4 linked regions of the Alligator mississippiensis genome follow. The protein of the gene in region 2 purifies or fractionates together with the protein of the main gene of each other region. This does not show direct contact. Links are inferred from orthologs where the notes say so. Each region holds a gene or a part of one and is shown on either strand. Other genes may lie near its edges.

What was found.
Region 1: the proteins of CCNB1 (region 2) and PKMYT1 purify together in Homo sapiens (affinity purification with mass spectrometry; 5 studies listed by BioGRID and IntAct, with this or other methods). This does not show direct contact. The link is inferred for Alligator mississippiensis from reciprocal best matches to the Homo sapiens genes CCNB1 and PKMYT1.
Region 3: the proteins of CCNB1 (region 2) and PTCH1 purify together in Homo sapiens (affinity purification with western blotting; 3 studies listed by BioGRID and IntAct, with this or other methods). This does not show direct contact. The link is inferred for Alligator mississippiensis from reciprocal best matches to the Homo sapiens genes CCNB1 and PTCH1.
Region 4: the proteins of CCNB1 (region 2) and CDC27 purify together in Homo sapiens (affinity purification with western blotting; 6 studies listed by BioGRID, with this or other methods). This does not show direct contact. The link is inferred for Alligator mississippiensis from reciprocal best matches to the Homo sapiens genes CCNB1 and CDC27.

The regions. Positions count from the first base shown.
Region 1 is NC_081830.1:724,545-732,321, forward strand, and holds the start of PKMYT1 (membrane-associated tyrosine- and threonine-specific cdc2-inhibitory kinase), read left to right. Parts: upstream 1-4,738; 5' UTR 4,739-4,843; intron 4,844-4,878; exon of another isoform or gene 4,879-5,112; 5' UTR 5,113-5,122; coding exon 5,123-5,491; intron 5,492-5,597; coding exon 5,598-6,091; intron 6,092-6,284; coding exon 6,285-6,391; intron 6,392-6,735; coding exon 6,736-6,908; intron 6,909-6,992; coding exon 6,993-7,216; intron 7,217-7,743; coding exon 7,744-7,777. Other genes in the region: GREP1 (glycine-rich extracellular protein 1), read left to right, coding at 31-99, 271-336, 452-520, 989-1,036, 1,193-1,255, 1,670-1,750, 1,842-1,934, 2,489-2,514. UniProt on the Homo sapiens protein: Acts as a negative regulator of entry into mitosis (G2 to M transition) by phosphorylation of the CDK1 kinase specifically when CDK1 is complexed to cyclins. Mediates phosphorylation of CDK1 predominantly on 'Thr-14'. Also involved in Golgi fragmentation.
Region 2 is NC_081826.1:258,265,867-258,272,774, forward strand, and holds the start of CCNB1 (G2/mitotic-specific cyclin-B1), read right to left. Parts: upstream 3,040-6,908; 5' UTR 2,952-3,039; coding exon 2,931-2,951; intron 2,837-2,930; coding exon 2,660-2,836; intron 2,505-2,659; coding exon 2,370-2,504; intron 876-2,369; coding exon 702-875; intron 1-701. UniProt on the Homo sapiens protein: Essential for the control of the cell cycle at the G2/M (mitosis) transition.
Region 3 is NC_081826.1:206,077,349-206,084,758, reverse strand, and holds the start of PTCH1 (protein patched homolog 1), read left to right. Parts: upstream 1-4,404; 5' UTR 4,405-4,776; coding exon 4,777-4,983; intron 4,984-6,722; coding exon 6,723-6,915; intron 6,916-7,410.
Region 4 is NC_081827.1:158,871,622-158,878,500, forward strand, and holds the start of CDC27 (cell division cycle protein 27 homolog), read left to right. Parts: upstream 1-3,878; 5' UTR 3,879-4,032; coding exon 4,033-4,059; intron 4,060-6,879. UniProt on the Homo sapiens protein: Component of the anaphase promoting complex/cyclosome (APC/C), a cell cycle-regulated E3 ubiquitin ligase that controls progression through mitosis and the G1 phase of the cell cycle.

The sequences.
Region 1 (7,777 bases), on a different chromosome or scaffold from region 2:
TAATACCCTCCCCCTGGATGTTTCCTCCAGGCTACGGAGGAGGTGGAGCAGGTGGCAACGGCTACCCAGGGCCAGGGCCGCAGCCGGGATATAGCAATGGTAAGGTTAAGGGCTTGGGGGGGGGGGGCGCTGTGGGGCAGGAGTGAGGTGGAATCCAGGTGTCCTGGGGGCTGTGGGTCGGCAGTGAGACGGGCCACGGGGCTGTGGGGTGGGGGGCAACAGATTGGGAACTGCCCTCCTATTAACTACCCCACCGCCCCCCACTTGCAGGTGCCCCGGGGCCTTTTGGGGGCCGGGTTGGAGGCCCTGGTGCAGAGCCGTCAGCTGCTAAATATGGTGAGTCCCTCAGCCTGGACTCCTGGGTCCCTGGGGGGGCGGGGGGCGGGCCTGAAGCAGGGGCAGGGCTTCCCTGATTATGACCCCGCCCCCTTTCCTTCCCCCCCACCCCCAGGTCTGGGGCAAGGACCCTACATGGTGGTGCCGGTGGGGCTGGGTGCGGACTTCAATGCGGGCAAGCTGGGTACGTGGGGGGGCACTGGGAGATGTGGGGGTAGGTACAGAAGGATGTTTTGGGGCACGGGAGGCTGCATTCGCTGAGCCCCCACATGCTCTGGATGCCTTGGTTCCTATCCCCGGTAGACAAGGCCTGCCTGGATACTCAGGTCCCTACCCCCTTCCCTCCCTTCCCCCCCTTCCCAGTGGGTGTGGCTTGCCTGGATGCCCCAGACCACAGGGAGAAGGCCTGGACACCTGGGTCCCTTGGGGGTATCCCTTGCTGTCATCACCCCCACCCCTGCCCCTGCCCCTGGGCCACCCGGATGCCTGGGTTCCCTCTCGGGGGACAAGGCTCCTTGGCCACCTGGGTCCCCATCTCCGCCCAGATGCCCAGGTTCCATGCCCAGTGGGTGGAGCCCCCAGGGAGCGGGGGAGCCCGGACACTTGGGTTCTATCCGCTGCCCCCCACCCCTCCCCCTTGTGTCCCCATCAGGTGGTTCAGGACAGGCAACGTTCAGGGCACAGCCTGCCGGGTTGGAGGGTAAGGGCTGGGGAGGGGCCACCCGGATGCCTGGGTCTCCTGCCCCCTGTGGGATGGGCAGGCACTTGAACATCAGTGGCTCCTGATTCCCCCCACCCTGCCCCGGGATGCCTGGGTCCCATATCCCCACTGATCCCTTCTCTCTCCCCACTGCAGCCAATGGCAACGGACTGGGATACCTGAATGGGGGAGATCTCCAGGCCAATGGAATGGCTCCAGGCAAGACCTGCCCTGGGTGCCCCCAGGGTGCTGGGAGATGGGAGCAGGGCCAGGAGGACTTGGCAATGGGGAAACCATAGAGATGGAGGAAAGAGAAACCAGAGTGGGCAAAGTGCCAACAGGGCTGGGCAGAGCTATGAAGCCCCCCGGTGGCGGAGGGTGGGGCTGCGCCCACCCCTGGAGCAGCCAGATCGACCTGGCCTCCTGCCCCATAGTGCCTTCCAGCCTGTGCTTCTGCTTCACACTGCCCTCCAGCCTGTGCTTGTGCCCCATAAAATGCCCCCCCACCTATGCTTCTGCCCCACACTGCCCTCCAGCCTGTGCTACTGGCCCTCAACCTTTGCTTTTGCCCCATAAAATGTCCCCCCATCCTGTGCTTCTGCCCCACAGCAACCCTCTCCCTTGCCCTTTCAGGTGCCTACGGACCCATCTCCGTGGGGCCGGCCCTTGGTGGGTATGGCCCGGTGCCTGCTGCCCTCGCCCCAGGGGCATATGGTAGGCGGGGGTGCTGTGTCCCTTGGTGGGTGTGGCTAGGGCCCGCTACTGCCACAGGAGACGGACGATTCTCCCCTCCCCACTTCCCCAGGGCAAGACGGGGGGGTGACGGGAGCTTTCCCTCTCATAGGTGGGAAGGAGTTCAAGTATGGCCTAAACGGCTTCCTGGGCAATGGCTACCGAGGTGAGGAGCAGGGCCCCCATCCTGTCGGACCCCAGACTAAGATTGGGGGGTGCTGGGTGCTGTATGGACCCCCCTAGACTCTATCACACTGGCCTCTGTGTGTCCCAGATGCCTGTGTGTGTGCGTGCGCGTGTGTGTGCACGTGTAGGTGTTTCCCAGATACCTGGGTCCACTTTGGATCCACATATCCCAGATGCCTGGGTTTTGAGTGTGTGTGTGTATGTGTGTGTGTGTGTAAGCATACATACACGTATTTATCCTGAATACCAGGGAGGGTGTGTTCCAGATGCCTGGGTCCTAAGGGTATGTGTATGTGTCCTGGACACCTAGGTCTTGCGTGTGTGTATGTGCATGTATATCTTGGATGCCTGGGTCCTGTGTGCGTGTCCCAGCTCCTGTGTGTGACTGTGCATATTTTTGTGTGTCCTAGATACCTAGGTTGTGTGTGTGTTTCTGTGTGTTCTGGATACCTACATCCTCTGTGCGTGTGTGTGTGTGTGTGTATGTAACCTTACCTCCTATCCAGCGCTGATCCCTGCTCTCTCTCCGCTCAGCCCGCTGCCCAGCTGGGAAGTGTTGAGTCCTGGGTGCCAGTTGTTTGCCGCAGGGGGACCCACCTTGCCACATCTGGTGCTACGTGTGGTGCTACGAGGGAAAGAAATTATCCCGCTATAACTTATCGTCTCGTTGGGATTTTTTAATGGATTCTTACATGTTAAAAACCTGCAATTTTGGGGGGTTTGTCATCCTAGGCTTGTCACCCCCCCCTCCGCCCTCTGGGGAAAAAGGGGTGTCCACAAGGGAGTAGGAAGTGTGTTGCGGGTACCTGTATCTGCCCCCTCTCTGCTGACAGCAGGAGGTGAGTGTGTCGGCAATAAAAAGCCCCTCAAAGAGCTTGTGTCTTGAAAGATTTGTTTCCAGATGTGCGGGGTAGGGGGGTGTCCTGGGCATCTGAGTTGTGTGTGAAAATGTGTGTGTGACACCTGGGTTCTGTGTGTATGTCCTGGACACCTAGGCTGTGTGGGTGAGAATGTGTGTGCGCATCAGACCGCTGGGGGGGTGCAGACGTCAGACACCTGAGAGGGGGGAATGTGTGTGTACATATTAGACACATGGTGGGGTGCGCATCAGACACTCGGGGGGGGGGTGTGCATCAGACACCTGGGTTGTGCGTGCATATATCAGACTCTTGCAGGGGGGGTGTTTGTGTCAGACACCTGGGTTGTGCGTGTGTGTGTGTCAGATGCCTGGGGGGGGGGGTGCCGGACACCTGGGTGCTGTGTGTGAATATGCGTGTCCCCCCTGGATACCTAGGTTGTATGTGTGAGAATGTGTATTTGTGTGCACTTGAGTTATGGGGGGGGTGGGGGTGGAAGACACCTGGTATCTGTGTATGTGTGTGTCCCGGACATCGGAGGGGGGGGGTGTCCAACAATTGGGTTCTGTATGTGTGTATATCTGAGACACCTGGGATGTATGTGTGTGTGTGTGCATTTGTGCGTGTCCCAGACATGGGGTGTATGTGCGTCCACACCTTGGTTGTGTATGCATATTTGTGTGTGTGTCTAGCAACTAGGTTGTGTGTGTGTATGTGTTCGTCCCAGACACCTGTATGTATATCCTAGACACTTGCATTCTGTGTGTGTGTGTGTGTGTGTGTGTTCCTTGGACACCTAGGGTCTGTGTGTCTGACACTTGGGTGTTGTGTGTGTGTCATGTGCCCAGACTGCTGGGTTGGGGGGGGGGGGATGGTTGAGCACTGCTGCCCCCTGCTGGAGGAGACTGAGGCAAGCGTGTTTGGTGTTCTACACGCTTGGGTTGTGCATATTGGGGGGGGGGTGTCCTGGACACCTGTGTGCATGTGTGTCCATCCAACAACAGGGTTGTGTGTGTGTGTGGGTGGGTGGGAAGGGCGGGTTGTTTCCAGACACCTGGGTTCTGTGTGTGTGTGTGTGTGTGTGTGTGTGTGTGTGCGCGCGCACATGTGCACATCATACACTATGGAGGCTCTCCTTCACACTTCGCGGTCCACCTCCCACTGCCCAGACCCCGCCCCGCCCCCCCGGGCTAAGATGGGCAGCCCCTCGCATCTGGACCCCACTGAATTACCCTGAGACCGAGATTGGGGCCGCGCCAGGCCCTGTACGTCCAGCGCTGTCTGCACCTCTCGGCGATGGGCAGTGTCCCTCGTGCCCCCCTCTGGGGGTGATGCATCGGGGGTGAACTCAGTTCAGGGCACCCTTGGGGGGGGCGGTGGAGGGGCTGGGGGTAACTCACGGCTGCCCCTTATATAAAGGGTGAAGGGGGCACCCCAAAAGCAAGGGTTGTGGGGCCCTGGCCCCTCCCTAGGGAGTAGAAGGGCTGCCTTCGGGGGCCTCACCCCTCGTTTTGGCGGGGTGAAGGGGGCATCCCTGGGGGGCTGACTTCATTGGGCGGCATTTCTGAGGGGATTTGGGGGTAAAGGGATGTGTCTGAGGGGATTTGGGGGGCATGTCTGAGGGGATTTGGCAGGGTAGAGGGGCATTTCCGAGGCGGGGGGGGGGGCGCTTTGGTTTGGCCACGCTTTGGTTGCCCCAGAGGATGCTGGGAACCCTCGCGGCCCCCTTCCATCCCTTTAAAGCGGGGAGTTGGCTCTGATTGACAGCCGCCCGGGCGAGCGGGGCGGGGCACGAGGCGCCCCCTGATTGGCTAATCCTGAGGCGCGCAGTCGGGGGGCGGTGCCGGGGGAGGCAGCCAGGTGGGGCGATGTGGGCGGTGCCTGGGCTCGGATTGGCTGAGGGGGCGCGGGCGGGGCGGCAGTTGGAGGCAAGGCGGGAAAGGACGGGGGAGCCCGCGCGCGGGAACGGGTGAGGGGGAGGGGGGCGTGCTGCCCTCCCGCGCGGGGGACCCGCCACATCCGGGCCCTGGAGGTGAGCCCCGCCCCGCCCCGCCCCGCCCCTGCCCCCCCAGCCCCTCATGCCACGGGGCTGCCTCTCTTCCTCTCCCGCCAGCGCCCTCCTGCTCATGCCAAGGAGTGCAGCCCCAGCCTGCCCCTCACCCCTAGTGCAGGGGCCCAGGCTCCCCAGTCACGTGGGCGCCCGGAGTAGGCCATGCGCCTGCTCGTGCGGAGGGGAGCAGGTGCGGGCGCGGGGCGCTAACCATGTTGCTAACCATGTCTCCTCTTTCTTGCCCCGGCCAGCGCTGACGCCATGCCGGTGCCCCCGGACGAGGCGGGCCCCGAGCCCCGGCTGAGCCGCACGCCCCTGCCCGTGCCGGCCTTCTTCCGCGAGGCCGAGGGCAGCTTCTCAGCCAAGAGGCCCCAGCGGGCGTCGGGCTACTCCCTCCCGTCCCGGCCGCGCCACAAAGTGCCCCCGACCGTGAGCCGCGTCTTCCCCGGCTGCCAGCCCCAGCCCTGGAGCCAGCCGCGGGCCCGCCTCGTGTGGTGCCGGGGGGCCCCCGGGCAGGCCGCGCCCCCCGCGGACCTGCTGTACGACCCCGCCAAGCGGGAGTCTTTCTTGCGCCAGTGCTTCCAGGTGCTGGGCCACCTAGGCCGCGGCTCCTTTGGCGAGGTCTACAAGGTAGGGGGGCGGGGGGAGGAGCGCTGGGGCGTGGCGGGACGTGTGGGCTGGCCGGGGCAGGAGCGCAGGGGTCCGGGTGCCCAGGCTGCCCCTCGCTTTCCCCCAGGTGCGGAGCCGAGCGGACGGGCGCTTGTACGCGGTGAAGCGGTCGGTGGAGCCCTTCCGGGGGGCGGCCGACCGGCACCGCAAACTGGCGGAGGCGCGGCGGCACGGGCGCGTGGGGCGCCACCCCAACTGCCTGGGCCTGGCGCGGGCCTGGGAGGAGCGGGGCCAGCTCTACCTGCAGACGGAGCTGTGCCCGGGCAGCCTGCTGCAGCACTGCGAGGCCCGCGGGCAGCCCCCGCCTGAGCGCCGCGTCCGCGCCTGGCTCTGGGACCTGCTGCGGGCGCTGCAGCACGTGCGTGTCTGTGGCCTGGTCCACTTGGACGTCAAGCCGGCCAACGTCTTCCTCACGGCCCGCGGCGTGTGCAAGCTGGGCGACTTTGGCCTGGCCCTCGAGCTGGGCCAGGCCGAGCCGGGCGAAGCGCAGGAGGGCGACCCTCGCTACATGGCGCCCGAGCTGCTGTGTGGGGATTACAGCCCTGCCGCCGACGTCTTCAGGTTAGGGCCCCGGCGTCCCGGTGCCCGACTTCCCCCTGCCCCCGCTCCCACCCCACCCTCTTCTGACTGACCAGGCACGCTCCCATTGGGTGTTGTGGGCTGCAGCCACCTGGGCGGGGCAGTTGCCTGGGGTGGGAGGGGTCAGTTGCCCATCTTGCCTCCCCCACTCGTGACTCTTGCCCCCTACCGCCAGCCTGGGCATGACCATCCTGGAGGTCGCCTGCAACCTGGAGCTGCCCACAGGGGGTGAGGCCTGGCAGCAGCTGCGGCAGGGATACTTGCCCCCTGAGTTCACAGCTGGTACGTCTGGGGAAGGGCCTGGATGCCGGGGCTCCACCCCAGCTCCGGGGGGACGGGGAGCAAGGGGAGCTGGAAGCCAGGATCCTGGGGTTCTCTGGGTAAGGGCTGGGGTCTGGGGAGGGTTGGAGTGGGTAAGTCTGGGAGCTGGGGATGCCTGTGTTTGTGGGGGGCAGAGGGGAGTATGGTGAGTTGGAGGTCCAGGTGGGTAGTGTGGCCTGGTGGGGAGAAGCAGGGGGTGCTGGGAGCCCGGATGCCTGGGTCCTCCCCTGGTCCAAGGGTGCCTGGGGCCGGGACACCGCAGAGGTCTTCCTTATCATCTCCTCTTCCCCCCCACCCCCACCCAGGCCTGTCACTGGAGCTGCAGGCCCTGTTGGCTGCCATGCTGGAGCCTGACCCCCGGCTCCGCCCTTCAGCGGAGACCCTTCTGGAGTCTGACCTCATGCGCTGCACAGGCCGCTGGCGCCGCCTCGCTCTGCTGGCTGAAGCTGGGCTGGAGTGGGGCGCTGTGCTGCTCCAGGTCAGTGCCCCCCTGCTTCTTGCCTCCTGTGCTCTTTGCCTCCTGCCCCACTTAATCTCCCCCCTTCTCCCTGCCCACCCACAGGGGCTGATGAGCTTGCTGTGGGGGGTCTGCCTGGCACTGTGCAGTCTCGCCCACTGGCGCCAGGGCCCCCCGACCACCCCGCCCCGCTCCCCGCTGCTCCCTGCCTACGGCAGCTTCTCCAGCGACTGGGAGGAGGACGAGGACGATGAAGGTGGGACGGGCAGCCTGGCCCTGGAGGTGTTCCAGTTGTCGGGGAGCTCCAGGGATAGCTCCCTCCAGGACAGGTGAGTGGTGGGGGGCCATGCCTGGGTCCCTACCTGCCCCCAGCCCCTTTCACTCTGCCTGGGAGCCTGGGCGCCTGGGTTCTCTGGGAAGAGAGTGGGAGGGAGCTGGGAGCGCACGTGCCTGGAGTCTTTGAGAGTTGAGTGGAGGCAACTGGGGAAGGGAGTTGGGGCTTGTGGGGGAACTGGGGGGGGGGATGGAAGCCCGGACACCTGGGTTCTTTGGGAGAGGAGCAGCATCTAGCGGGGTAGAGCAGTGGGACTGGATGCCTGAGTTCTCTGGCATGCGAGAGGGGGCTGGCAGATTGGAGCACCAGGGGCTGGAAGCCCAGGCACCTGGGTTCTTGGTGGGGTGGGGGGGGAGGAGTGGCACCTGCTGGGGTAGACCTGGAGGGGCTGAGAGCCTGGATGCCTGGGTTCTGTCCCAACTCTGGGAGGGGAGTGGGGTGCGATGGGGTAGAGCTGGGAGCCCGGACACCTGGGTCCTCCCCCCCGTCTCTGAAACCTCTCTGCTTCTCCCCTTCCTCTAGGGCCCCCAGTGCTCCCCGGCTCAGCTTGCCTCTC
Region 2 (6,908 bases):
AGCATGGAGCCAGCCCAGCCTGGTGGCACACTGGAGTCCCAGAAACTGTGTGAAGTCTGGTGCTATCAGGCTGGGCCAGCTCTGTGCCTCTACGTGGTGATCCTGGCACTCCAGCTGGGAGCAGCATGTGGAAGCACAGAGCCATCCAAAGTCCCATGAGCCCCATGTAGTGAGGCCATCACCATCAGTCCACCTCCCTTCCTATTCTCACCTGAATTTCCACCTAATCAGATGGAGGGCACACTGGGGAATAGCCACAGGGTCATCAGGGCAGAAGCCTCTGCTAGGCAGGAGCATGGCATAGAAGAGTGGGGCAAGTCAGGTTGGGGCTGGTCACAACACGACCAGAGTCTGAGCTGCTTGGTGCTGCACCCAGTGCCTCCTGCCACTAGCATCTTGTCAGGTAGTAACTGTTTAAGTTTCAAGAAGCCCTGTGGGCCAGAAGTGTCCCAGCAGGCTGGATCTAGCTTGTGGGCCATGTTTTGTCCACCCCCGTTCTAGTGAATGCATGCACTTGTCATTTAAAGGTTTGGCATATGTTCTGGTCCTGTTAGCAAGCTTGTAGGAACATCTATGACTAGACTCCTCTGTCAGCTAGTCCTTGTAGTTCTTTACAAGGGATCAGGGTAGAAGCAGAGTGCTGGGAGATGTGCTAGAAAAAACAAAACCAACCAAACCAACTAGTCAGCAGCCATACCAACCTCAAGAACTCTCAGGTATTTGTAGATATCCTTCACATATTCACTGCAGAGATTTGGGTCAGAACCATCATCTGCATCTACATCAAGCAACACATCAGAAAAGGCTTGACACAGTATTTCCTCCACTGGCATGCATCCAGATGTTTCCATTGGGGTTGGGGATAGAGGCTCCAACTACAGAGAAAGGAGTTAAATATATTTAATTAAGGCCATGTTTTTCAGCCATTTGGTGATCAGGCCTTTAAAAATAGAGTTTGACAGATAGTGTACAAACAGATGGAGTTAAGGGGACACCAATATTCAGAGCAGACCAGTTACTAGATATCCCAGTATTTTGCGATATGTAGAACAGCTGTTTGGTCCTTACTAACAGTGACAAGCTACTATTTCCAGAACAGCTGTAGACACAAGATGGTCATCAGTATTTCCTGCCACCTGGCCCTTTATTTTTCCTTGGGAGAAATATTTCTACACTGATTTAGGAGTTAGTTACACAGAACTAGGGCAGCATATCATTGTGCATCTGGGATCTTACAATAGGGCAAACAAGCAGCAATTAAACTAGAGTAAAACAAGCAGGCTATTCCCAAGCTAGTAGTACTAGCTCAGTGAAGCACTCTCTGGCAGAGTCCCCACCTCCCCCCCATAGTTTCCCTGGTAGGAGGTACATGACAGAAGCCAGGATCTGTGCTCCAAGTTTATGGGCAACTTTTAGTTAGTCACCGAACTGACAGCAGCATTTGGTGTATGCATTCCTACACTGAAACAGTTGCTGAAGGAAGAGGAGATCTACATTACAACACTTTCAACTCAGTAAAGCCTCAATTATCTGAGGTCAGACATTTCATCTGGGCTCCCCTATGGACTAGGGTCATGAAATGAGAGAGTGCTTGTTTGCAGTAGCTTAGGGCTTCAGCTTGCCCAATACTTTGGGAGGGGAACATTAATAGTTGTTTAGGTGGCCTGGCCCTAGGACAGCGATTCTCAATTAGGGTGCTACAGCACCCTGGGAACCTTGAGATCCTTTCTGGGGTACCATGCAAAGTCAGTACTATTAGGTGTACTGTGTGAATCCTCATTGCAAACGCCAGGACTTCAAATAGGAATCCATCATGAAACAAAAAACTTTGGATTTTAGGGGAAGGGGGGGTTCCAAGTTCTCTGCAACACAAGTATTGCTGTATTAGTTTTTCTATTTTCACTTTGTTTTTAACTTGGACTCTAGGCACCCCATGGAAGTGTCAGCTCTGAAAAGGTTGGACCCAATGGGGGGGGGGGGGGGGGAGGAAGAAGAGAGGGGCCTACAGAGGAAGAAGCAAGACAGAAAAAAAAGCCTTAGACTCAGCTCCTTGCCCTGGGAAAAAAAGCTCCCCCCCAATTTCCTTCTTTAAGGAAAGGAGACCTTAGCCTGCCCATGCCCTATTTCACCTGCAGGCAGGGTGCTACATTACTTCAGAACACAAGAGGAAAGACTAGAGACGGAGGTGCTCAGGTCCCACGCTAATGGCCACGAGTACTACTTTGGAAGAGGCCACCATTACACTGGCATTATGTGCCACTGAATTCACTTTGCTCCTTCCCTAGGGGAAGGGGAACAGAGGTGGAAGGTGGTGGGAGATGCAGACCGAGCAGGTCACAGCAGCCCCCCTTGTTTCCTTGATACCATACCTGCCCTGGTGCACAGACAGGTACCTTGGCAGGCTCTTGGGCCTGCTCCTCTTCCTTCAGAGGCTCAGCAGTGCCCTCCACAGCTTTTGCAGGTTTCCTGGCAGCAGGCTTGTCCTCAGCCGTGGGCTTAGCTTCCTACCCAGCAGGAGAGGGAAGTAGTTAGCCGAGGAGCCCCCTACACAGCCTGAAGCAAACCTGGCACCCCACCCCCATCTGCAGAGCAGACCCCCCCCACAAGGCTGGCTGGGCCAGGGATGCACGAGGTCCAGCATTCCCCCCTCCAAAATTACCTTCTTGAGGGCAGCTTTAGGCTGCGGCTCCTCGCACACGCGGTTGCCGATGTCCCCCAAGGCCCTGCGGGGCCGCAGGCCGGGCTTGGCCGCGGCGCCCCCCAGCTTGGCGCCAGCCACTGTAGTCGCCGCCCCACTGGCCTTGGGCTTGTTCTCGGCGCTGACTCTCATGTTGTTCTGCGGAGAGACGAGGCGCCCTGAGCAGCCGCAAGCCACGCGGGACGCCCCCGGGGAAGGGACCCCGACCCCAGCCCGCCGCCCCGCTACCGACCCTAGTGACCCGCAGCGCCATGTCCCCGCACGCCGCCGCCGCCAACACCAGCCCCTGCTGCGGCCGCAGGTTTAAAACTCGCACTGGGCTCCGCTCATTGGTTGCTCCCCTCCCTCCTCATTGGCAGCTCGACGTTCCACCCCCAATGCGTTGCCGCAGAAACCGAGCGCTGATTCTTCCAGAAGTTCGAAAATGGGGCGGGGCAAGGGAGTGGGGCGGGCTGTTGGTACCACGGGACGCGGGGGCGGGGAGGGAGGGGTGGCCTGGGCCTGGTGCTTGGCGGGGTGTGGCTGACTGTGCCCAGCAGGGCCGTGTTCCTGTAGTCTGGTGCGTCCCGTGGCCGTCTGAGCCGGTGTCCGCTCGTCTGCTTGGGCCTGATGGCCCTATAAAGCTGCCAGTGTTTGCTCCTGCCAGGGGTTGCATAGCTACCGAGATGGCTAGCAGGTCACCTGCTAGGTCGAGCTGAGCAAGACGATTTTGTCAAAACATCTGGATGATTGTGGGGGGAGGATGTGCAGAAAGACAGGATGCTAAGTAAGGCATGTAGGTACAGGTGTGTTTATGCAGATCAGGTTTTAGGGAAATATCAGTTTCTCACTATTGGATGACATAGTCTGTAAACAGCCAGTAGCAATAGTACAAATACTGAATAAGAAAGAGACAAAAGGTACAAAGAACAAAGGGTTCTTTGGGAGCAAAGGGTTGGATTGCTAGGCCTGAGCTTTTCAACTGGTGTGCCACATGAATTTGGGAATAATGAGAAGAAAATTCTGTAGCCTCCTAGTGCTAACGAACCAGCTGCATCAACAAGCCAGATCAACCAACTATTCACAGAAGACTGGTGCATGTGTTGACTGGGGGGGCGGGGAGGAGAGAGAACCGGCCAAGCAGAAGGAAATTCATCTGCACGTGTTGGCTGTAGGGGATGCGCAGTTCGAGAGCCTCTGAACAGCTGTGCCACGGAGTTTTGCCGTGGCAACGAGCTCATGAGTATGGGGACAGAATGCCTTAACAGGTGTGCCACAGAAAAAAAATGTTAATGTGTGTCTTGGGCTGGAAAAGGTTGGGAAACGCTATGGTAGCCAGTGCCTCTGAATAGTCCAACAAGACTCTGGACTATCTGAACATCATAGGAGTAGGATAACTAGTACATTTCATAGTATAAAATTGTGTGTTATCTGTTAAACCTACATTAAATGGAGTGGAAACTCCCATCTCTCGAGCATTCTTTCTCTCAACAACCCACTGGTTCCCTGATCCAAGGTTTTGGGGTAACACAGGTTGACTATTAGAAAATTACACTGCAGCTCAGTCTGTACTTCCCAAGAGAGCATGAAATACCAAAGTGGGAGCATGTAGTAGGTGGTTTTTAAAAGCATTGCTTCCACATTAACTGCTGCCTGGATCTTTTAGTTGATTAGCAGCTTCCACAGGCTCCAGTTCTTTCATAATATCACACAGATGATGATTGGTGAGAACATTTTGGTAACTCACCCTTCTAAGCTCTGACCAAGCTTGGAAATTGGCAGGCTCTAGCTTGTACAAGAGGAATGATGTGGGAAATCAGTTGTATTTTGTTTTTATTTCCAGCTGCATCCATGGGATATCAAACCATGTTGGGACCCAAGGACATTCATAAACATTTGTTTTTAATTTGTTAGGAACTTCTGAGCCAGTTTCAGTCTCTGTGAGTGAAGGGAGGACACCAAGATGACTGCTGTCTGAAAGCCAAAGTCTGTGACTTATTTGTGGAGATGCATAGGATAATTCCAGGTGGTCAGAGCAACAGCAAGAGCTCAGATACTGGTGGGAGGATCCAGGGATGGCTGAAAAATGAAGAAGGAGGGATCTGGGTTACATGGAAAGTGAACATGGGAGGAAAAGAGGTGAGAGCAGAATTTCATAGATTTCATAGACATTCGGGCTGGGAAGGACCCTGGAGGATCACTGAGTCCAGCCCCCTGTCCCAGGGGCAGGTAGTCAGTAGGGATCATAGGATCCCAGCAAGATAAGCATCCAAATGTGTCTTGAAGGCATTCAAAGTAGGTGCTTGAACCGCCTCTGGCAGTAGAGAAGTAAAGAAGTTCTTCCTTATGTCCAGCCTGCATTGGTCACAGCGAGTTTGTGACCATTCGATCTTGTCATCCCTTGGGGCACTCTGGCAAACAGACTTTCCCCCAGATCCTGATGAGCACCCCTGATAGATTTATAGGCGGCCACAGATCACCCCTGAACCTGCGCTTTTCCAGGCTGAAGAGCCCCATGGCTCAGCCTCTCATCATAAGGTCTGTTTTCGTGACCTCTGATCATGTGCATGGCTCTCCTCTGCACTCCCTCAAGCTTCTCCACATCCTTTTTAAGTTGTGAAGCCCAAAACTGGATGGAGTATTCCAGCTGTGGCCTTACCAAGGCCGAGTACAATGGGAGAATGATGTCCCGGGGTTTGCTTAAGAAACATCTATGGATGCAAGCCAGTGTTTTGCTTGCTTTACTAGCCGCAGCATCACATTGAAGGCTCATGTTTATCTTGTGGTCAATGATGACCCCCAAGTCCCTTTCATCTGTAGTGCTAACCAGCGTAGCACTGCTGAGCCTATAAGCATGCTGCAGGTTTTTCCTCCTAAGGTGGAGAACCTTGCATTTTTCAGTATTAAACACCATCAGGTTCTCATCTGTCCATTTCATGAGCCTGTCAAGATCTGCCTGGATCACCCTCCTGTCCTCAGGTGTGGATGCTTTATCCCAGTTTCTTTGCCATGGTCATAGCTGAGGGGTCAAGACATGGCTTTTGAGAGAAGCAGGATCATGAGCCACCTGGTGAGCCCAAACCACTTATCCACCCATGCCTATCTTGCACACAAGCCCCAGTTCAGTGTGCAAGAAAGGGGACAGATTCCATGCTGATGTGCAGTTCCATAACACGTGCCACTGCATCAGTGTCTTGCACTCTGCAGTGTTTGGTGTTGTTAAATGTTTGTGCCCCTATGCTTTTCATTGCACATCTTTTGACTGTGGAAGTTGATTGCAGCTGGATTGCCCAGATGTTTTGCCTTTGTTTGATCACAGATGGGGGTCTGGAGTGACAGTGCTATGCCAACCCTGAACTGTTTATCAGTACACCTGTAACAACCTGGGGGAGTACCAACTTTTACAGGGTGATAGCAGTACACTTTGGGCCTGTTGTTGCCCCTTTGGATGTTTTAGTACTCAAAGATGGAGCAAAGCTTACGCAGGTGTTGTTGTTCTCCTTTTATAAATGTTCTGAGTCTGCAGCTTTGTTTTATCATACTGTATCCCCATCATTCAGTGATCATAGTCTTGGTCTGAATTTTTTGCAGGGTAGGAGGATCAGCCATAAAAGATGGCTTTAGCTAAGTTCATGCAGTGCTGACTGTTTTTTTTCCTGTTCCTGGCCAGAAAAAGCCAGCTCCTAAATACTCACATCTGTACTATTGCTGTCTCTTGGTCACTGCTGCCACATATAAAGTATCTGTCAATTGCAGTTGCAGATTACCACGCTTCAGAGCACAAGGAGGCACCAGGGAAAAGAAGTTGGTCCTAGATCATTTCTGTTCACCATTCTCAGAGAAGAGACAAATTGTTTCACAATGCCCCATGGAAGTGAGTAGAGGGTGATGCAATGAGCTGTGGTGCTACAAACCATAGGTTATATCCCTGCAAAGCTTTGCATCTTTTTTGATTTTGTACAGTGCCATTGTGTGTGTAGGCTGTTACTGCATCTGTATGGGAATTGACTGCCGTTTCTAAGTGCAAGGTCATGCTGTTAAGTTAGGCTAATGTGATATATTAAATAAGGCGTTAACAGAAGACTTCTTATCAATCAGTTTTCAATGGAAAAATGGCTTTCAAGACAGTGAACCTTTTCACTAATGTCTGCTTTACATAGGAGAGTTCAACTTTCCATTAAAAATAACTTCATCCAAGGACAGTAAAGTTTTGATTTGGATCCACTGCTGC
Region 3 (7,410 bases), about 52 Mb from region 2:
TGCCTTCAGCCTTATTTCACACACACATCCACACACACACACCTTTTATTTTCTCCTGCCTTTGCCACAGTCTATAAAGCCCTATTGAGACATGTAGGCGTGATGTGTAAACCGGATTAGCAGTATGAAAGCAAGACACACAATGAGCCTGAATTGTTTTACTTCCTTTTCATTTCTCACGCCTATATCTCTAATAAATTTGTTGCTCCAGCAGTGGGTCAAAGGGATCGTGTCGCTCGGCTTTTTCTTTGTTTTTTTTTTTTTTTTTTTTGCTCCCCCCCTGCCAGACCCCATGGCAGAGATCAGGAAAATGAATGGTCTGCGCCTCCTGCCAAACGCGAGAGCCGAGGTGTATGGTTACAGAGCCCGGGTGCGGTCCAGAAGGGCTAAAAAGCTCTCCAGGGGGACTGTCCCCCCTCGGTGCACACTGCGGGGCTGAGGGCAGGCTGCCAGGGAAAGGATCCGGTTTGCAGGCGATGCTGGGGTGTGCGAGAGGATGACAAGGGCTGCTCCCGCTCGGATCCCCCGGCGGCTGCAGAGCCGGAGGAGGCTGCCCGGAGCGGGGGCGGCTGCAACGCCCTGCGCTGCCTGGCTGATGCTGGAGATCGCTCATTTGCTTCTTTGTGGCGCGCGGAGCAGTTCTCCATTAAAGGCGATCAGGGGTAATTAGCCGCATTATTTTGACAAGTTGGCTCGAGCAGCCTCCCTCGCCTGTTAGTCCCGAGGAGGGAGGGCGAGGGCGAGAGCGAGGGCAAGAGCCGAGCCGGGCTCCCTCTCCCCAGCCCTGAGCCCCCCGCAGCACCTGCCCAGACACACGGGCGAGATGCTCTGCCGGGAGGAGGACCGGGCGGGGGGTGGGGAGCAAGAACAGGGTTTATTTGGCGATTGCATTCAAAGGGCTGCAACAGCGGGGCAGGACATCCCCCCTCCCCCCCACAGGCCTTATTGGGCGGCACAGCTGGATGCCAAAAGGAGATCGGGGCGGGTGTGGGGGGCAAAACCACCCCCGGGCACAAAAATGACAGGCGAGTGAGCGCCCTCCAGGTCAGTTTTGTTCCTGCCGGGCAAACAAACAATCTGGAGGGCAGGTGTTTTCTTTCAATGTCCTTCCTTTATTCATGTAACCGGATGCTACAGGCAGAGCAGTGATGGGGGGTGGGGGGGAAGCCCCCTAACACGCTGCAAGAGTCGCCGTGAAGCCATCAGCAACCTCCCAGCCCCTACCCCTCGGGGCTGAACTCCTCTGCCGGGCATCTGTGCCGGGCGGACAAAGCCTTGGCTGGGGATGATCCAGCTGGGGATGGTCCTGCTCCGAGCAGGGGGTTGGACTAGATGTGACCTCTCGATGTCCCTTGCAAGGCTCCTGCTCCGGGATGCCAGGGGGGCATATAGGAAGGCGGGTCCTTGGTGCCAGGCACCCGGAGGGGCCAACTGGGCGGGCCCTGCCCACCCGGGGGGAGCGAGCCGGGCCGGGGGAAGGCAGAGCAGTGCCGGCGGGAGGTGCCACCTCGGAAGGCCTCCTGCAGGCGAGGAGCCGGGCGTGTTATCACCACTCCGATCTGTGGGATCCTTGAAGTTTAGGGTAAAGAAAGGAGAGGGGGAGAGCCCCGGGTGCGGAGCCGCGGTGACATGCGCAGGGCATGCATATTAAAGCCAACAATGCTTACAAATGTAAATAAGGGCAGATTGATTAGGAACAACATTATCGCTGGGAATGCAGCACTCGCATGCATCAGCAATGAGGCAAATTGGGGGCAGCCACCGCTCCTGACCACCCAAGTCGAGACAGACTTTTACTCTGACACTTCTTCCTCCTCCTCCTCCATTTTTTTTTAAAGCGCGGCAGAAACAAGGCCAATTAGATCCTCGCAGTAATTCATCTCTGGGGTATGAAAAAAAAACAGACCACAGGGGGAGAGGGAGAGATTAAGACACCGCTTGTTAAATCTGAGCCTCCCGATTACACTGGGGGCACCAACCGGCAGGATTTATAGGCGCCGGGACAGGGCGGGAAGGCCTACCGAGGCGAAGCTGCCAGGCAGGAGGCAGAGCCCGCGGGCTGGCGCCTCGGCCCCCGCGCAGGGGGGACAGGGTGGTACAGGGAGCACCAGGAAGCAGAGGGGAGATCATTGCCCCCCCACCCGCCGTGCTGGGACCCGCATGCAAGCCCCCTGCACGCCCGGTTGCTGCATGCATCCGCCCCCTGCAGAGCGCGCGACTCCGCAGAGGCCCCGCGGCGCGGGAGCCGCGCGCCCAGCCCGCTCCCTGGAGCAGGTTCTACCCCCCCACTCGGCCCGACCCGACCCCGCCACCACAGCTGTGCAGACTGAATGGGGACGGCTCCCCCCGCCTCGCCATTGGCCCGGAGCGCCCAGCCCGGAGCACCATTGGCGGGCGCGAGCCGCAGCGCCCGCCCCCTGGAATGTACTGCGGCTCGTCTGGCACGTCTCCCGGCCGCCAGAGGCCAACCGAGCAGCTGCCCCTCCCGGGCACCGTGTGGGCGCCTAGCGCGGGTTCGGGTCGTACCATCTCCACCCCCCTTTCAGAATCCGAACCCTCAGGGCCCGGCCGAACCCGCCGCGCACTTGAGGAGTCCGGCCCAGGCGCCCGTGTGTCACGTGACGCCGCTGGGCCCCGCCCCCCGCGCGTTCTTTTTTTTTTTCAATGAACACACACCGCGCGCCCCTTAAAGGGACACGGCCCCGAGTGGGACCTGCCCCCCTCATCCCAGTGGTACAGGCTGGGGGGTGGGGTGCAGAAGCACGAGGGGGAGTCCCTGAAATGCATGCAGATGGGGGGGGCAATGCGGTGCAAAAGCCACCTCCGGGGTGACAGCGCCTCCTGCAACCTGTACAGAGGCACAGCCCCCCCTTGCACCCCTAAAAGCGTTTCCGATGGGGAGCATCTCCCTACACGGGCATCTCCTTCCCCCCTCCCCAAAATCAATGCATTGATTTTTAAGTATCTATTTAAAAGCAACTCATTGATTTTTGGGGTGCCAACAAATAAAAATAGCCCCGAAACAAGCTGGCGATTCACGCGGAGCGTGAAAAGCCTCTGGGGACTGAACTTGACATTGAAAAAAAATTGTGGCGGGGGGGGGGGGGGCGAGGTATTAAGCGGACTTTGCTGCAGAGTGAGGCTCGGGACCCCCACGCTCAGTTAAACCGCGCGGGCTCCTTGCCCGGCTTTACATCCCTTCTTCTGGGTGTTAAATTTCCATGGTGTGTTGTTATCATCATTACCATCATCATCATTATTATTATTAATTATTATTTGCCCCCACCCTCACTGGTCCTTTCTTGCAAGGATCTGTCTCCTCTTTAGTTAAAAGGAGAAAAGAGAGAGGGAGGGAGGGAGAGAGAGAGAGAGAGGAAAAAAAAAAATTGGCACTTTCCCTCGCAGTATCCACCACCCTGTCATTATTTGTGCAAGCCTGGGAATTCAGCTCGGACCTCCCAGTATTTGTTGCAGCTTGAGGCCAAGGTGCCTCTAAAAGGATTTTCTTTTAAAGGCTTTAGAAATCGTTCCGTGGGTTTCTTTTTCTTCTTTTTTTTTAAAAAAAAAGCAAAATATATTTTTGAAGGTGGATGTGCAGTAAAGGCTTGCGCGCGTGTTTGTCTAAAAGCATCTCGTAAAAAAAAAAAGAAAAAAAAAGAAAAAGAAGAAACCGTTGTTGAAAAGAAAATGAAGAAGAAAAGGTGGGGAGGGGGTGCGGGGGGAGAGGCATTCCTTAATGGAAGTATTGCATGCAAAGAAGGCTGGATCTCTTTAAGGCTCCCCCTGAAGCTGGAGATGCACACACAAGGGTTGCCTGCCTGGGTGGTCTCTCTACTTTGGTGAGCTGTTGCTAAGCAGCTAATAATAGTCATGTTTGCTGAGTAATTTCTGCCCTCCCTGAGCCAATCGCGTCCCAGAAAGCCCAGCCATCTGACAGCCCCAGGGGCGGGATTTGAGGGCTTTTTTTTTTTTCTCCTTCTTTCCCCTCTCTCTCCTCTCCCCCCCCTTCACCCCTCCTCCTCTTTATCCAAATGGAGAGAGTTCTTTTTTTCTTCTTCATCTCATCTATTGAATCAAGGAGCTGCTGCTTGCTGCTGCACACACACGGAGGGAGAGAGAGACACACACACACGTCCAGAGGGAGAGGGGCACCGCGGAGCCGCCCGCCCTGGGACTCAGAGACAGCTCTGCCCTGAGCCAGACTGGGACCGCGCGGCCAGAGGCAGCGGCGGCAGCGGCAGCACCTCCACGGGGAGCACGGAGGAGCCCCAGCCCGGCTTGGCTTTGCTTTTCCACGGAGCAAGACCGAGGCGGCGGGGAGGGAGGGAGGGAGGGAGGGAGGGGAAAGGGGCAGGAGAGGGGGGGAGCCCGGTTTCTTTGCAGCTGCGAGAAGCCAAGTGGAAGCGGGAGGATTAAACCCCCAGATCCCGGGCCGGGGGGGAAGCCGCCGCACTCACCCGCGCCCCGCTCGCACACACGCTGGATGCGGGAAGCGGAGCCCCCCGGATCCTCGCGAAATGTTGCAATGGAAGGCGCAGGGTCTGCCTCGCCGGGAGCCGCCGCCGCCGCCGCAGCCCGCGCGGTGTGAAGAGGTGGCTTGTCAGCAGCAGCAGCAGCAGCCGGAGAGAAGCGCCGCCAGCTCAGCCAGCCCCCGGTGCCCCCGCATCGCCCCAGCGCGGCCGCCGCGCGCCGCGGGGAAGCCCAGGCGAGCCAGCCCGCGGGTCGCCCAAACAACAACAGCCGCCGCAGCAGCAGCCCCGTCCCGGCGGCGGCAACATGGCCTCGGCTGGTAACATTTCGGAGCCGGAGAGCAGCGGCGGCGGGGCTGGCGGTGGCTGTAGGGACCCCGAGGGGCCGGAGGGGAGCGGCAGCAGAAGGCGGAGGAGGACCGGGGGGACCAGACGCGCTGCGGCGCCCGAGCTGGACTGTCTGCAGCGGCCGAGCTACTGCGATGCAGCTTTCGCCTTGGAGCAGATCTCAAAGGTGCATGAGCCTCTGGCTGTGCGTGCGTGTGCGCGCGCCTCTGGGTGTCTGTGTGTGCGTGTCTTTCCAGCGATCTTTTTTTTTTTTTTAAAGGGGGGTGTCTATTTTTTTTTTTTTTTTTTTGCATGGAAGGAGGAGATGGGAATGAAAGAGCCACCAATAAAATGCTGGGAGAAAGAGGGGGACGTCTGTGAGTCCGTGCGGAAGAGCCTGCCCTCCTCGCCGTCCTCCTTGCCCCCGGGGGGGTGGGGTGCTCCCCGGCTGCTCTCGTGCAACGCTGCCCGGGACCCTCTGCCGCCTGCCCTCCTCTTTTGTGGGTCGCCCTCTTCTCGGTTCGGGTGCCCGGCTGCTCCCCATCCCTGCGGAGCGCTGTGCCGCTGCCTGGCAGCCCCGGCTTCCGACGGGAAATGGGGATCGGGAAAAGATCGAGGGTTTTTTTTCCGGGGGGGGGGCAAAGAAAAGACGGGGGTTTCCTTCGGTCACGTTTTCCAGTCCGCGGGGGCATCGCGGCTCTCGGAAGGGAGCAGGCTTGGAGGAGAGGAAGTTTTGTCCTGTTGAAACCCCCGGCGCTTGGAGGAGAAGTGAAAGTTGTAAACAAATTGCCACCTTAAATCTGCCTTGCAGGTCAGGTCCCCCCATCCCCTTTCTCCCCCCTTTCTATGATCCCGGATCCTCGCTTTTATTGTTAATATCGAAAGGCTCCAAACGCAGGGACTGACTCTGAAACAACAACCCCCTCGTCCCCAAATAGTCCCGATCGCTCCCTTTTGCAAGGCAAAAAGGTTCCTAGCAAACCCCAGCGAGGAGGCATCGCCTTTCTTCGGAGATCGGTTCATTTCAGGCAGCAGATTTCTTTAATTTTATTTTGGGGGGGAAGGCTTTGCAAGAAGTGGAAAGGCAAAAAAAAAAAAAAAAATCCATGTGGCTGCCCTCTTCCGTTCACAAATATTGTCGTAACTTACAGATGGCTGCTCTGCTTCACCATTCCGATCACACAGCGTCTCCAAACTCTATGGAAATGAATGACTATTAAGCTTATGATCACGCAGCATTGCTCACCACGTGGGTCGGTCATTTACTACACACACAGTCGGGGCCGGGAGCTGGGGAGGGGGGAATCGGCAGCAAATTGGTACAATGCAGCTTTCCCCCCACCCCCTTTACCGATGTAACAAGAACAGGAAAGGGGGATTTGATTTGATTTTTTTTTTCTTGGCATGTTGAGATTCATCTGCTTTGATTCTTGCTTCCCCTGTGCTGGCAATCTTGCCAGCATGAATGAATTTTTGATTACAGAGCTGCACTGATTTGTATTGCTGAACTGATGGCAGTGACTTGCTTGCAGCAAGGCTGGGATGGGCTGGATGGGAGGGCAGGCAGAGGCTGTCTCATTTATCCGGATCTCCTGCAGTGATGTCACCCAAAACCTGGGTATTGATTTATGAATAGGAGACTCAGCCGTCTACATGCACGTCTTAGTCCACACCACTGTGTCCGGTGCCTGGAGGGCTGCTCCACAGAGACATGGGCTGCAGTCCAAGGTGTCTTGTCCAGGGTTCAGGTTGTCCTCTTCATGTCCCCGCTCATGGATGCTCTGAGGCTCCTGGCACTCCTGCGTGAAGATGTGATGATGCTTGGAGGCTGCTAAGAAGGAGGAAAAAAGCATGCCCACGCTGTGCGTGTGGGTGTCTATCTGTCTGTCCCAGGCTCTCAATGGCTGCCCTTTTCTTGCCTTGCAGGGGAAGGCGACTGGAAGAAAAGCACCGCTGTGGCTAAGAGCGAAGTTTCAAAGACTATTATTCAAACTGGGCTGTTACATTCAAAAAAACTGCGGCAAGTTTTTGGTTGTCGGCCTCCTCATCTTTGGGGCTTTCGCTGTAGGATTAAGGGCAGCTAATCTCGAGACCAACGTGGAGGAGCTCTGGGTGGAAGGTAAGACTTGGTCCCTGCTCTTGGGAGCCCTTTCTCTTTCCTCTGCCCTCCTTAGGGCACCTCAGGGGATCCAGAAGAGATCCTTGCTGGGATCTTCTGGAGCTCACTACTCCCCCCTCCCCCCCGGCCCCCCATGAAGGTCAAGGCAGCAATTTGTGGCCAGCCTGTCACCCAGGCCACAAGTGTTGGCTAGAGCAGCGTTTCTCAACCTGTGGGTCAAGACCCAAAAGCGGGTCGCAACAATATATGAAAGGGTTGCAAACACACTTGAAAAATGCATCAAAAATAGGTTCTTCTTTAAAAAAAAGTGGGAAACCGTGGCTTTTTCCCTGGAAGGCTGGCAGAGTTGCAGCCTGCAAAGGGGCTGCTTGGGGACACACTGTGAGGCTGGGACCTGGGGGCTCGGGTCGCCATCATAGAGGACAGTCCAGTTGTCCTCTTGGTATAAAACTGGACACCTTTATGTCCTCAGAAGAGAAAAATAGAGGACATAAA
Region 4 (6,879 bases), on a different chromosome or scaffold from region 2:
CCCAAAGCAGACCATCCCCAACTAGATCATTCCAGCCAGGGCTTTGTCAAGCTGGGCCTTAAAAACCTCCAAGGATGGAGAATTCCCCACCTCTCTCAGTAACCCATTCCAGTGCTTCACCACCCTTTGAGTGAGAAAGTTCTTTCTAATATCCAACCTAAACTTTCCTTGCTGCAGCTTGAGACCATTGCTCCTTGTTTTGTCACCTGCCAGCACTGAGAACAGTCTAGCTCCATCCTCTTTGGAACCATCCTTCAAGTAGCTGAAGGCTGCTATTAAATCCCCCCTCAGTCTTCTCTTCTCTAAACCAAATAAACCCAGTTCCCCCAGCCTCTCCTCATAAGTTATGTGCCCCAGCCCCCGAACCATTTTGTTGCCTTCCGCTGGACTCTCTCCAACTTGTCCACATCCTTTCTTCTCCTACCTGCATTTCCACCCCTCATAAATACCAGCTCTTTCAAGACTAGGGCAGCTCTAGCACCCTTCAGAACCAGGCCTTGAGTCTATCCAAATTTTACAGGATTTCTCAACTGGTTGGATGCGAAGGTCCTCTAGGTGGGACTTGGGTCGCGGCGGTGAACTCTTTTGCTTTTGCACGCTTCAATTGCCGCCCCCCACCCCCCGGCCTGCCATCAACTGGTGGGACCAGGATTTTTTTTACCTTATGTAGGTGGGAAAGGTTGAGAACCACTGCTCTAAATCACCTCATTATCCTACCAATATAGCAAGTCCCTCTAAACCTGGTTGATGAGTAGGCGTCCAGGCTTTGCCCATGTTACATAATCTTTAGGATGGAATGGGCTGTACCAAAATAGGCTCAATCTCACTAATGATATGGACAGCTGTCTTTCCCTGCAGCAGGAGCAGTGATTCTATAATGTTACCTTGGGCTCAAACTGGATGTACAACAGAAAACCAATTTTAATACATGGAGCCCTATTCAGAGGTTCTGGACTTAAGGATCCCAAAACTTTGGAGAATGAGCATTTGGTGTTGGGTATCCTCATAACCTTTTTCATAAGTCATGGAAGATGTGGTGTTCTTCAAAGACGTCACTGCCAGAATCAGGTTATTATCTGAGACTCTTAGCTCTCATTGACTCAGGTGAGTTTCTAGTCCTCAGGGTTACAACCCCCCCGAGAATTAGAATTTTAAATGCTTTAACCTTAGATAGTGAATACAAATTAACCCCATCATTTATTATTCTTAATAGCTGATGATTTTTTTAGCCTCTCTCATTCGTTTTGAATGCTTGAAGCTGACAATACAAGGACCCAGAAATTTAATAACAGTATCACTATTGATATGGGCAGATTTTATATGGATTTGATCTGATCTGGATGTGGATTTGATCTGAATGTGTTTGCTGGTAAGTGGCAAGCATTCCACTGTATTCATGTATTAATGTGTAATTGATAGGCTGAGAAACCATAGCCACACAGAAGCAGTGATGCTAATGGAGACAATTACAGAGGAGAGAAATTCCAAGTTGGACCTATTTTCCAGCTGGGCAGTCAGCACCCTGCGATTTTCCAATTGCTCAGTACTTCTCTTTGCAGCCTCAGTGATACCCTTAATACAGTTCTTTTTATGTACAAAGAAGTACAAATACAGAGACATTCCTGCTATGCCAGGACCCAGACTCCTCCATGCTTCAGCCGTTATAAGACAACTCAACAAAAAGCCAGGGACCCTGCAGAGTTCTCTCACCCTCCTCCCAAGTTTCTTTGCATCAGGAAACTCTTCTGTACCAGACAGACGTGAAGATCTAGTCCAGAGTAACTCCCCCTACCATGGTAGAACTGTCCCCACAGGGAGTTACTTTGGAGTGCCCAACTACAGGTTTCCGTCGCTTTATGCGAGTTCTGTATGTGCGAATTCGCTCTTATGCAATGACCCTTTTTATACCAAAAATTCATTATATGCGAGGTCAATTCACTCTTATGCAATTGGTGTGGTGGAAACCCAGAGTCAGTTGCTTTGTACAGGGCATTGTGGGAGTGACACACACCAAAATGTGGTCTCCTGTGTGGATCTGTACTCCTTGCTTGTTGTCTGCAACCTGTGTTTTTGTAGTTGCCGTCCCCATTATGACAGTGCCCAGTGCTTGTGTGTACTGTCTGCTGTTGGTGAGTACCAAAATCGTCTTGTAAAATTGGTGGAAATGGGGTCTGGGGTCAGTCCAGTCAAGGTCTTGGAACGTATCCCTATTTGTTACGTTGTAAAGCGGATTCCCTTTATGTGAATGTGAGTTATGCGGCCTTTTCCAGGAAGGTATGTACAGCATAAAGTGAGGGAAACCTGTAGTCTGTAAGGTGTAAATCTATCCTGCCTGCTGTCTGGACCGTGTGCTGGTCCATTTCCCTGAGTAGACGAAGTGGGGGGCAGGTTTTATAAGGTAGTTAGGCACTGAACTGCCACTGAAATCAAGGGGATGGAAGTTTCCTGCATTCCCCTAAGCCATTGATTCTCAAGCAGGGTGACATAGCACCCTGGAGTACCTTGAGATCGATCTACATGTGCACTTAACTGTGCAGCAGACTAATTTGCTGTGGTGTAAAGCATCACAGTCTACATGTGTGATGCTATTAGACTGCAGCAAATTATTTTTTGCCATTCTAAGATAGTATTGTCCAGGATGTGTGTAAACCCTGACTTGGACATAAATCGTGCCCAGTAAGCCCAGGTAGCAGGGGCCAGGCTGCTGCCTGCTGCCTAGCCATGCAGCTCTGCCCTTCGGGCACTCTTGTGCCCCAGCCAGCCCCTCGGCCACCTGACACCATGACCTGGAACCTGGGGTCAGAGGCGATGTGTAGGGAGGGCACAGGGGGACACGTGCCCCCCCCTCCCCCTGAGATTGGTTGCCACCAAAGCCGCCACCAGCTTCTGCAGGTAGTCACTGCCTCGCTGTTGACACGGTTGCCGGCAGCAGCAGGCAGTCCCTGCTCGTGTCTGCCGACAGCGCGGATGGTGGCTACTGGAGGTCCCTGCTCACCACCCTCCCCTGCGTCACCACCAAAACCGCTGTGGCCACCTGCAGGTGGTCCCTGCTTGGCATGCCCTTGCTGCCGCCATCACCACGGCCACCTGTAGGTGGTCCCCGCCTGCTGCCACCACATCCCCACCCCCACCGCCTGCGGGTGGTCACCGTGCCCCCTCAGCCTCATGCCCGGGGTTGACCCCCGAGCCTGCTGCCAGCCCAGGGCCAAGCACCCCTGGCACAGCCCAAACTGCTGCGGTCCTAGGCGCACATGTAGATGCTGTACCACGCAGCCGTTAACTCCGGAGGGAACTGCACCAGAGGTTAAGGCACCACATGAATTGCGGTTAGTTAGCACTGATGTTAGGTAAGGTGTGCAAACAGGAGTCATAAGATAAAGCTGGAGATTCAGCACAGGAATCCGCCGTGGTGGCGCTTCTTGGATCCTCGCAAGAGGCAAACTGCCCGGTGCTCTTTCCCTAGTCAAACAAGAGTGAAAAGGGAGAACCGGCGTTTCCCGGGGGTGTGCTTCAGCCTGCCCAGGCCAGCCTCGGGTCCGAAAGAGCAGAGACCAGCCGCCGCCCTCCGCGCTGGACCCGGCCTCGGCCCGCAGTCGCTGCACCAAGCAGGGCGGGCGCTGCCCGCGGCCCGCAGTGGCTCAGGCCGACCGCCAGGGGGCGCCGCCGCCGAGACTCCGGCGCAAGGAGAGGGCGGTGGCGGAGGCGGCGCTCGGGCAGCTCCGCGAGCTCGGCCAGCACTCGGCTATTTCCGCGGCTGCTCGGGGCCCCCCCTGTGCGGGCCCCCCCCTCGGGCTCGGGCCTCGGCTGCTTCCGCCCCCGCTCGGGCATTTCCGCTCCCCTTCGGCTCTTCCCGCCGCCGCTCGGGCGGACTCGGCGCCCGGCCTCCCTCCCTCCTCCCGGCGGCCTGCCCCGGTAACGGTCGCTGGGAGTTTAAATGAGCAGGGGCCGGGCCGGGCCCAGCCGCCGCCGGGACACGCGCCGAGGCTGAGGCGAAGCCGGGGCCGAGGCCGCGCCGGGCGCCGCGGGGGCAGGATGACGGTGCTGCAGGAACCCGTCCAGGTACCGCGCGCCCGGCTTCACCGCCGCGGCCTAGCGGGGCCCGGCCCTTCGCCGCCCGGGCCCGCCGCAGGGCTGCCCCCGCCCCGCCCCGCCCCGCCCCGGGGGGACTTGTTGATTCCTCCTTTTGTCTCCGTGGCCCGGTCCCCGCTGCGGGCACGGCCCAGCCTCGGGCCCCGCGGGCGCTGGGAGGCCCCAAGGCCCGGAGCAGGAAGTCGCTTCAAGTTTGATTTTTTTTATTCCTTTTTTGCCCCTCCGGCTCTGTCCAGCAGCTCTGCCGCAGGGCTTCCCCTCCCAAGCAGGGCGCTCCCAGAACACAGGACTTGTTCCTTCTTCCCCACTTCCCATGTCATCTCCCCCATCTTGCTTTAACCCTCCTCCAGGCCTGTCCCAGCTGCCTTCCTCCTTTCTTTCCCCACCTCTTCAGCTCCTGTTTTTGCAAAGAGCAGCCTGCAGCCGCAAGCAGAACAGAAACGAGCACGAGCTCACGCACTGGGCATGGGTGACTTCCTGTGGGAGATGACCTCTGCTCCACCGAGTTCACGTGCCCCGGGCGATGCCTGTGGCGATGGTGCTCTTGTGAACAGCGCGCTGGTATTCTCCACGCTATGGCTGTAGCTCTGAAAATGCTTCCAGCCACCTAGCCATCTTTGGCATCAGGTCTGTGGCTGTAGCTGTTGCAAAGCATGGCAGAGCCCACCTGACATGGGAGTCTGTGTGAAAAGGAAGCGAGCACTTGCTTCTGCAGTGAAAGGGTGCAAATAATATCTAACACAGCAACTCAAGTGGGATAAACCTTCACCACTCATCTGAATATGGCAGCATCCCTGGTTGCTGCTTCGGTTTACCCCAGTACTTCTCAGCCAGGTGCTGCTGCTGTGGCCGCCATCCTGGAAACGGAGGCAGCAGGTTGAATGCTCCCATGTACCCTGTTTCAGGAAGTGTGTGGTGGGGGACCCAGACTGGGAAGGGCCCAAGCAAGAAGGCAGGAGCTAGATGGAGGCTGATAAGAGAGCCTTAATGCAGCAGGAGTGCACGTTTGCCACAGCTCTGCATTCAGGGCAGTTTTATCTGACTGCCATAGTGCAGACAACACCTGCGTTGAGGGCCAGGTTGAAAACCACTGATCTAACACTTCCACAAATGCCTGTAAGCAGCATCTCTGTTATCCTAATTAGATTAGCTAGGTGAAAAACAGTTGCTGTGCTGAGATTTCCCTGGCAGAGATGTGGAGTATTTTATTTGAGCAGCATTAATGGGTTCTTGAAATACGCAGATACTTCTACGGTCTTCTCTTCCAGTTTCAGCCCCTTCCCAAATTGGATATGCTTTTGATCGGGCTCTGCTTTGTGATCACACACACCCATTTGGGTTCTGCATGCTTGATGTATCCAAAAAAAGAAAAAGAAACCCTTTATTTTTCCTTTAGGTCTGAAGAGACTGATATGTTTGCGCATTTATATGTTATGGTTCTATCTGCACTTATAATACATGACCATGATTTGTCACTATCTTGGTCCAACTGTGGTTGCAGCGGTGTAAACTGTATCTTGGCTCATTTTAAACATTGCATGATAAGGTCGTAACCATACTTGGGTTCTCTTTTTATGCTACAGATTTCACCATTGCTACCATCTCTATTCTCTTGGTAATGTCAACGAAATGTGTCAGCCTTGATCATCTGTAGTCATGGGGTGTTTCTGTGCCACGGTTATGAACCATTAAATGAAAAGGGCACTGGTGAAGTAATACTTGATACCAAAACAAATTCCATGCCTTCATCCAAAAAAACTGTCACCTTTAGAATTATCAACATGACAGTGCTTTGTAGAGATTATTATTTACATAGTGCTTAGTATGTTGGCATTTTAAAACTATGTAAGATGACTGTTACCTGCCCTGAAAAGTTTCTATTTCAACATTCAGATGTTGCTACTTTTGCAAGGGGTATAGGTGGCAGAGTCTAGTCTTAAATAGACAACATGGCATTTTATGCTCCTAAGGAAGTAATCTGAAACTTCTGAACCTTAAATACTAATGCCATATCCCGTATGTTAGCAAGTTACGTGTATGCATCTCTGAAGCCAAAGGTTTTCTGAAATAGTGCTTAAGTTTCCATGACACTTCAATTCCACTGCTTTGATCATTTTGAGAAGCTGATATGAATTGCCATTACCAGCTCTAATGATGCACAGGTTTGATAGCATTGTTTGATGTTATGGTTGAAAACATGATAAAAACAGCAATGTACAGTAATGGCTAGTAAAAGTTTGCTGTTCAGTAGGAATAAAATGGTGTGAATCCATTGTACAGACTTGAGTTCTAGGACAGGCTTAGTTTTCTAATGATCTTCCATAAAAGGTTATGGGAATTGCTCACCCCACCCAAACTCCCAGTTAGCCTATTTTAGGATTTTACCTAACTCTCTATATTAGGTGTTATATTTTGGTTTATTCCCAGTATAGAGGGAAAATGACAGATGATACAGATACAGAAGGTAGACTAGTTCTACTATTATTCTACATTGGAGTATATTTTGCTTTGTAAATGCCCCAACGCACCTGATTGCAGCAGCAATTCTAGTCTCTATGGCATAGGTGCTCTTTGTCTCCCTGGAGTACTGGTACAACCACAATGTTGAGATTGCTGTAGTGGAGAGATGCATTAGACTGGTTCTTTCAATGCCACTGTTCAGACACTGAAACAAATGAAACAGCTGTGTAATCCATGTTCCTGTTAATGTTTCTATCTTGCAGAAAAAAATCACTATAGTTATTTGTAACTCATATTTTGGTAGTCAGACACCAAGGTGGTATTTAATTT